Linked DNA regions of Cricetulus griseus. The protein of the gene in region 1 interacts with the protein of each later gene in a pairwise test. Links are inferred from orthologs where the notes say so. Each region holds a gene or a part of one and is shown in the gene's direction. Other genes may lie near its edges. The genes, in order: Chaf1a and Mbd1.

Region 1 (4,552 bases):
ATGTTTAGGGTAAAGAATTTTAAAAATCTGGTGTTGAAATTGCTGACAAGTGATTCCATGAAGCCAAGATTTCTGGAAGGTTCCCAGTGACTCAACAGAATGCAGTGTGGTAGATGAAAAGAACATGTGAATGTCATCCTTATTGCTCATGACTATAGGAGCCTTTGTACATGGTGGATTACGAATAGGTTTTGTTTGAGACAGGATCCCACATAGCACAAGCTGGTCTTCAATTCCTGATCCTCTTGCCTCACCTTCCTGCTCCTGCAATGACAGGCTTATGACGACAAGTCTGGTTTCAAAAACGTGTGTGTGTGTGTGTGTGTGTGTGTGTGTGTGTGTAACTGGAGACTGCAGCCAGATTCCTAGCATGCTAGCCACCACAGGTTGATACAAGGATGTTCTTTATTTTATATGGGTTTTGAGATGGAGTCTCATGGAGCCCAAGCTGGTGTCAACTTCAACCTGCCTTGGCCTTTAATTCTGGATCTTCCTGCCTTCCTCTCCCAAGTGCAGGGTTGACAGGTGTACAAGAAGATCTGCACAGTGCAATCTGATTATACTTCCGCAGCAAGTCAAAGGTTTGATGAGATCCTTGACACTTTCACTGAGTTTATGGCCAAAAAGCAATTCATACAGTTATTCTATTAAGAACCCACTTACTAGCCACAACTTCAAGAAAAGAACTGTTGTGGGCATTGAGCTGTTTGCAGATGAAGGAGGGAAAGGTTTCTTTCTCCACCTAACAGATGAAACATTTTAGAAACTGGTTGGTGGGTACCAGGCCAGCACGGCTGCATTGTGAGATCCTGTCTCAAAAAAAGGAAAGAAAAAAAAGAAGGCAATTAATAATGTTTTGATACATTGTATCGCTGGCTGGCCTGGAACTGGCTATGCAGACCTGGCCTGGATGTCTTCAAAGTCACAGAGATCTGCCTGCCTCTGCCTCCCAAGTACTAGGGTTTAAAGCTCCCACCACCAAACTCAATGAACAATTTTTTTAAATTAATATATCTTCAAAGTAATTCACACTAAAAAGGTAATTAACGACTTTGAAAGTAATTTATAATCTTACAACAAAAAAATTCTACTTATAAATAAAGCAAATCGTAATTTTTAAAAAAGCGGTTCATCATTTCAGAAAAGTAACTCATATTTTTTTTAAGTAATTTATAGTTAAAACAGGAAGTACTTGTGAATTAACAATGAAAGGAAGTGATCCCCAGTTTTAATTGCTGTAGCTACTTTGAACCAATCACTAATTAGGATAAACTCACTTCAGATTCCTCCTCTAATCAGTAATTTCAAGTTGTCACTGGCGCGGATCGTGACGTAACCGCCCCACTTCCTCCCACGAATAGCCAATAAAAGGGAGGGCTCTTAGATTGACATTGCATCCTACCAGTAGAAACGTGCCGCTCCGTAGCCACTCAAGAACCGCCGGAAAGGAGTCCTCCTCCTTCCACCTCCCGCGGGATTTTTGGGCGTATGACCCGCAGTTCTCGCGAGGACGCGCCGAGCGCCCCTCTTTTCCTGAGGCAGGGCTGTCACGTGACGGGCTCCCGTCCAATCGGCGCACGGGCCGCGGTGGTTGCCGCGGTTCCCGCCAAATACGAGCGCGGCGGCCGCGGCGGCAGCAGTAGCGCCACCGGCGGGAGGCGGAGAGCGTAGCGGGGTCGCCGCCGCGATGCTAGAGGAGCCGGACGCCGCGACGCCGCCAGCCGTAGGTGGGTGAAGCTGCGGCCCGAAGGACCGGGTCCGCGCCCGGTGCTTGGGGGCTGAGATGCGGAGACGCGAGGGCTCGCAAAGGGGAAACTGAGGCCCCGGGGAGGGGGAAGGGTCAGCTTTGCAGGCTCCCGAAGGTTCCGTGTAGCCCAAATAACGAGGGCCTAGTAGCTGATGGGGAAACAGGCCCCGGGTCGCCCTTGATGGGTCCTGAATGCATCTGTGTCCTCTTGTTGCAGGTGGGGAAACTGAGGCCGGGAAGGGGGGTAGCGTCACTTTTGCAAATTATTAAATGTATTTGCGAATTCTCGAGTGAGTCAGACCTTTGCAGTGGGTGGGGAAACTGAGGCCTGTGGTCACTTGAGCTCTGGACACCAGAGTACCCCGCAGCTGTCTCGGGCAGGGCAAGCCCAGGATGATGGAGACTTTGCCTGGCAAGCATGACCAGGAAGCTCGCTTTTGTGAGTGTGATATAGCCCTGCGGGGTACGTGTCAGGACTCTGTGTAGCATGAGGCAGGCTTCCCTAAATGTGGGGTGCCTAGTCCCCCTGCTTGACTCTGAATTGTACTCCCAGCAGTTGGCACGGAATCCTACCCTGAGTCCTACCCTGAGACTGGAGGGGGTCGCATCCTGATGGACTAAGAGTTCACCAATTGAGCACCACTTGGGGCACTTAGGATGGTCCCTTCTGAGTATGTTATACCAGTCTGAAAGCTTGGACGTTAGTGGATAGGCAGTTTCTGGGATAGAGAGCAGCGTCCTCCATCTCCATCCACTTCTGGGATAATTCCGGCCCTCTGCTACGGTTCTGACCACCAAAGATATGCCACCCCCACCCCCAAACACACACACAGCCCAGTAAGATCCAGCAAGGCTGGATCTGTTGTCCTGACTGGCTTAAGATTTTATGAAGACATAACTAACATTCATAAAACTACCTAGACTATCATGGAGCATTGTTTTTGTTTAACCAAGGCAGAACTTTTTTACCAACACTATTGGTAATAAAGACAAGATGGGTGTGGTAATTTGTACCTGCAGTTCCGGCATCTTAGAAGCTGAGGCAGGAGGATGATGAGCTCCAGGTTGATCTGGCCTTTCACCATCTGAATTCTATCACAGGTAGAAGGAGAGAATCAATCCCACAAGCCTTCCCAACAACAAATTAATTAAAATGTAATAAAAATTCTAAAGAAAGGATGTCTTTCAGGAAAACCCATATTTTTTGGCAGTAGAAAACAGGGCAATGTTACCTTTCTTCCATTCAAATAGGAGAAAAGGGGCATGGGTGTTCTAGGTAGGAGTCCGAGTCTAAGCCGGGGTGACGAGGCTGTCTCCACTCTGGACAGCTGAGGTTGTCCAGAGTTGAGTCTGAATTTCATATAGCAAAATGTATGGGAATGCTCCCCATATTACTGAAGGGGTTTTTTGTTCACTTAAAAAATCGCCTCGCAGGTGGAGTTTCTACACCTGAGCCATCTGTTTAAAGGCATTTACTCAAAGACAGGTTCTGAGCCAGGCATGGCGGTGCATGCCTTTGGGAACGGAGGGAGGAGGATCTCTGTGAGTATGTAAGCTAGTCTGGTCTATTTATTAAGTTCCAGGACAGTCAGGGCTACATAGAGAGCCACTGTCTCAAAACAAACAAAAAAACAGTTCTATTTATGGCTCTACATGCATGGATTTTGGTGTGCTTACATACTTCCTGAGGTTTTTATTTTAGTGAGAAATAGTCTCTCTTGGGGTCTTTTATTTTTTAGTTATTTTTAAAACAAGGTCCCGTGTAGCCTAGGCTGGCCTCTACCTCCAAGTGTCACCTTGCCTGGCTTCTGCAGGGCTGTGGATGGAACCCAGAGCTTCCTGCATGTTAGGACAGTGTGCTACCCATTGAGCTCAACCCAGGTTCCTTCTTATGCCTTGACATAACTACAGCTTCTGCCACAAAATGTATTCATTTCATTTACTTATATATTCATCCGTTTAAGACTATGATGCCTTTGCTTGAAAAATAATTTTTAAGTTGGTTTACTTAAAGATTTACTTGATATTATGCATCTTTGTATGTCTCTGTCCATGTGAGATAGGTACCCATGGAGACCAGAGAGGGCATCGGATCCCCTGGAGCTGGGCTTGTAGTTGTGAGCTGTTGAATCTGATGATGGGACCAGAGCAGCAAGTGCTTTTAATTGCTGATCCCCTGTCTATCCCCACAGTCACTGTGTGTGTGTGTGTGTAGGTCAAAGGACATGTGGGAGTTAATTCTCTCCTTCCCCTGTATGGGTCCTGGGGATTGAGTTCAGCTTGCCAGGCTTGGAAAGCGCCCCTACCCACTGAACTCTCTCACCAGTTCATGTGTTTTTTGAGGTAGCTTTGGGCAGTTTAACCATAACTAGAATTCTATGTGGCCCAGAGTGGCTTTGAAGTTGAGGCAACCCTCCTACCTCTACCTCCTCAGTCCTGGGATGACGAGCATCACCTCATGATTGGCTCTTCTGTGTGTTCACTCATGCCCTTGCTTTTTGCTCACTGTTCATCAATTTCCAGTGTATTCAAGCGCAAAGGAGGGAAGTCTGGGTACAGCATGGATCAGGTCACTGTGCTGGCATCCAGTAGGGGACATAATACAACAGTTTGTGAGCAAGGCCCACAGAGAAACTCAACGCAGGGTACCGAGTCTAGTGTAGAATTGCTCAGTGTTGGCATTTTGAGCCAAATAATTCTTCGTTGTGGGGCCGGCCTATTCATTGCAGGCTGTTTAAGGGGAGTGCCTGTGTGTCATCTAGAGATGAGCAACACCCCCAGCCATGAAAGCTGTCTCTATGGGCT
Region 2 (3,808 bases), on another chromosome or scaffold:
TCAGGCTGAGAGACCAGTGCTGGTGGAGCAAAGGCTGGGCCAGTGCTCATTCTGCTATTAAATTTACCACCATGGCTGCTGTTGCTTCCGCCTAATCTGGCTTTGCCTGCCTCATGTCATATTTTCTTTTCTGTCCCATGCTCACCTCCTTGGTTCTGCCTATCTGCCTTTCTCTGCCAGCACTTTGCTCATCGTTTCCGTGGCCACCCTCAAGGATGTCACCGGTGCCCTCCCCAGGTTGTGGTTTCCCCCACTGTGAGTGTCTGACTGCACACTCCACCTGACCAGTCAGTGCATGGCTCCTGCACTCCCCGGGGGTCCAGTGTCTACTTGGTACCACCAAGCCTTAGCTGGCTTTCGACTTCTAGGGTAAACATAACTGTCGTAAGAGTGGCTCGAAGGTGGCTGCCCAACATCACTCCCAAGCTCAGCCACGGCCTCCACTTCCTGCATCGAAGCACCCAAAGCCCACAGAGCTGGTAAGGCCCTGGTGGGCAGGGGGACGGCACAACCCTAAACTTACTCAGGACCTGCCCTGACCCCAGCACATTTGCCTCTGCAGCACATCAGCGACCTAGCGCCCACATCACCTGCTGAGCTCATCTATTACTGTGTAGACGAGGACGAGCTAGTGAGTGGCCCCACCTTACCTGGATAAACCTAGATGCCCCTGATGCTTCTGTAACCCCAAGGAAGCAGATGCTGTAATGGGACAAGTAGGGAGTAATAGTGCATACTAGGATGGATAAGCAATTACTGGGGAAGAAGGAGTTAGCAGTGCTGTGCTTACTGTCAGATGGACCAACATCAATGGCTGGTGCACGACAAACAGGCTGAATGGTGACATTCACAAAGGTGCAGGTAAATACGTTTGTATAGAGTAACTAGTCAACACAGCTGGCGGTGATGAGGACTAATTGAAGGTCAGCAGAGTCCTGGTGGAAGTGAGGGCCAAAAAAGACATTGTCTGGATAGCAGGTGCTCTAATAATACAGTAATGGTGCAGCCTCAGTCCTAATGGTCTTGGAGGCCAGCTGGCACAGTGATTGTGGCATAGTTTGAAATCTCAGATGCCGAGGAGAGGTTGTGGGCTGAGCCTCATGTGTAGCTAGCTCCTCATGGGGGCTAGAGGAACACCAGGAACTACTGAAATGGGTGTTGAGGACGGCCTCTCCTAGTCTTAGTGACAGTAGCACCATTCCCCTCCACCCCAGCAGCCCTACACGAATCACCGGCAGAACCGCAAGTGCGGGGCCTGTGCAGCCTGCCTACGGCGGATGGACTGTGGCCACTGCGATTTCTGCTGCGACAAGCCCAAATTCGGGGGCAGCAACCAGAAGCGCCAGAAGTGTCGTTGGCGCCAGTGCCTGCAATTTGCTATGGTGGGTGGGGCAGGAAGGGTTAGGTGGATGGGCTAGGTTGGGCCTGGCCCACCCCCGCGTTTGGGAGTGGTAGGCAGGCCTGGTAGATGGGTGGGTGGTGTATTGACTCCAGTTTAGGATTCACAGACAGTGTGTTGGGGTGAGTCCAGCTCTCCTGCCATTACTAACAGGAGATGGATTATCAGGCTCAGTGATGAGAGCTCATGTTAGCAGCAGGGTCTCTGCTGGGTCTGACAGGAAGTTAGCAGGCACATTGAGTAGGGCAGGGTGGGTAAGGTCATATGGCACCAGGTTGACCACAGCACTTAATCTTTTTCTCACAGAAGCGGCTGCTGCCCAGTACTGGGTCAGGGTCTGAGGAGGGAGCAGTGTCACCCCCACGTCATCCTTGTCGAAAGAGGCCTCGTTCTCGACAGCTCCATGTGAGCCCTTCCTCAAAGGCCCCTTTGGCTGTGCTTACAATCCCACCAGGCCCTGCCCAGGCTTCAGCCAAGCAGCAAGTAGGTAGAGACTCTGTGCTGCCCCCACCTGACACAGACCTTGTGTTTTTACGAGAAGGTGCCAGCAGTCCTTTGCAGGTGCCTGGCCCTGCTGCAGCTTCCTCAGAAGCCCCATTACAGGTAAGGATCTCTCCCCACTCTTCCAAGCTCCACCCAGCCTTGTGCCATGGAGCTGAGACCAAGTCTGTTGCCCTCTTTTCTTATGCAGGAGGCCCAGTGCTCTGCCCAGAGTTGGGCTGTGACCTTGCCTCAGGTGAAACAAGAGAAGGCCGATGCTCCAGAGGAGTGGACAGCAGGCACAGCCTTTCTGACTTCATCCACGTTGCAGCCTGGCTGCCCTAGCAATGTTGAGGAGGTAATGAGTGTCCTATGGGTGCCATACAAGTGGTCTGTAACCAGAATTATAGTGAGCCATGATGGTGGTACTGGGAATAGTGATGGTGTGCTGATGATGACCAGTCTGTTGAATTATCCAGCATATCTAGCAGGTGCTGTACTCTCCATAGGCAACTAAGTTTGCCTGCCATACTGCCCAGCTCACAGGAGACTGAAGATTGTTGAGGAATGGCAGAGAGATGGCATTTCTTAGTGATAAAAGTGAGGTCTATCTGCATAATGGGTTGGCTAATTAAAAAAAAAAAAACAAAAACAAAAACGAAAACCTTGCTTCAGGCTGACCCTGTCCTAACTACTGCCCTTCCTCATTCTCCTAGGCAGTAGACCCAGACCTTGTACCTGTGAAACAAGAGCCTGCTGGCCCTGAGGAGGATAGAGAAGAAAACAGACAAGATTTTGTCTCTGCATCAGCCCCAGAGGAGGAGACAGGAGGGGTTGGCACACCAGTGGTCAGTGCTGGGGGACGTTCCCACCCTGCCCTGATCTTGCTTTCTCTCCTCCTGTCATGCTGACCCATGATGTTAATTCTTTCCTAGATCACAGAGATTTTCAGCCTGGGTGGAACCCGCCTCCGGGATGCAGCAGCCTGGTTGCCAAGGTGCCCCATACAGTTAGGTGTGGGGATGGGGTGGGTGCCTGCCACATGTGGGCCCTTAGTTTTAAACCTAGGGTCAGCAATTTGATTGGGTGCAGAGGGACATAAAGGCCTGCAACCGTTCCACTGCACAAACAGTAAGGGGGTATTTTGTGCAGTACTGTGAAGATTTGCTCTTGAGATCCAGCCTGTTGGTATTCCAGGGCTCTCCTCTTGGGAAAGGAACAGAAGGACTGATGTGCCGTGATGAAATTGGAAAGAAAACAGATTAAGTGAGGCTGGTCCCCTTTTAAGGGTCAGACTTGACATAAGCATTCTTACTCAGAAGATCACCATTTATGGTCTTGAAGGCCTTAGAAGTCTCCATGAGCCCATTATTGGGTGAGCTGTCCCTGATGATGGGAAGAATGTGTGTCACACAGATGACATTGGACTTGCCCAAGCAGTGGAGTTAGGGGATTGGGCTTTAAGTGGCTCTGCAGGCTGAGTCTGTGTGTAGCTGTGTGATCTCAAGTGTGTCCCCCACTTCCTAGAGTAGCCTCTGTGGGAGATTTGGGCTGTGTGTCCCAAACCTTTCCTGTTGAGTTTACTGTTTCAGATACTGTAGAACTGACCCAGTTAAGTCTAGTAACAGAGGTGAGAAGAGATGCCATTGTGGTAGTGGAAGGAGGACCACCCCCAAGGTTAAAAAAAAAATCTCCTGGGCCAACCACCTGGGTGCCATTGCTCCCACACACTGGTTTTAATGGCTAGGAAACCTGATAGTGTAGGAGATGGAGATGACTGAGACCCTGCCTGGTGTAGAGCAGATGGGGACTTCCATTGGTGATGATACTGCAGCCTGTAAGGCTTACCCATGAGGAGATAGAGGATCCCTGGCTTCTAGGAGCTTATGATTTTCTGGAAATTGAAATTATTCTCTCTTAACAGAGAAG

The links.
Region 2: the proteins of Chaf1a (region 1) and Mbd1 interact in binary tests that used the Homo sapiens proteins (3 or more experiments, as listed by UniProt). The link is inferred for Cricetulus griseus from reciprocal best matches to the Homo sapiens genes CHAF1A and MBD1.

Annotation. Positions count from the first base shown.
Region 1 is NC_048598.1:97,507,768-97,512,319, reverse strand, and holds the start of Chaf1a (chromatin assembly factor 1 subunit A), read left to right. Parts: upstream 1-1,569; 5' UTR 1,570-1,687; coding exon 1,688-1,727; intron 1,728-4,552. UniProt on the Homo sapiens protein: Acts as a component of the histone chaperone complex chromatin assembly factor 1 (CAF-1), which assembles histone octamers onto DNA during replication and repair.
Region 2 is NC_048595.1:165,541,344-165,545,151, reverse strand, and holds part of Mbd1 (methyl-CpG-binding domain protein 1), read left to right. Parts: intron 1-368; coding exon 369-479; intron 480-562; coding exon 563-631; intron 632-1,214; coding exon 1,215-1,382; intron 1,383-1,705; coding exon 1,706-2,002; intron 2,003-2,090; coding exon 2,091-2,237; intron 2,238-2,595; coding exon 2,596-2,727; intron 2,728-2,814; coding exon 2,815-2,888; intron 2,889-3,076; coding exon of another isoform or gene 3,077-3,110; exon of another isoform or gene 3,111-3,254; intron 3,255-3,808. UniProt on the Homo sapiens protein: Transcriptional repressor that binds CpG islands in promoters where the DNA is methylated at position 5 of cytosine within CpG dinucleotides. Binding is abolished by the presence of 7-mG that is produced by DNA damage by methylmethanesulfonate (MMS).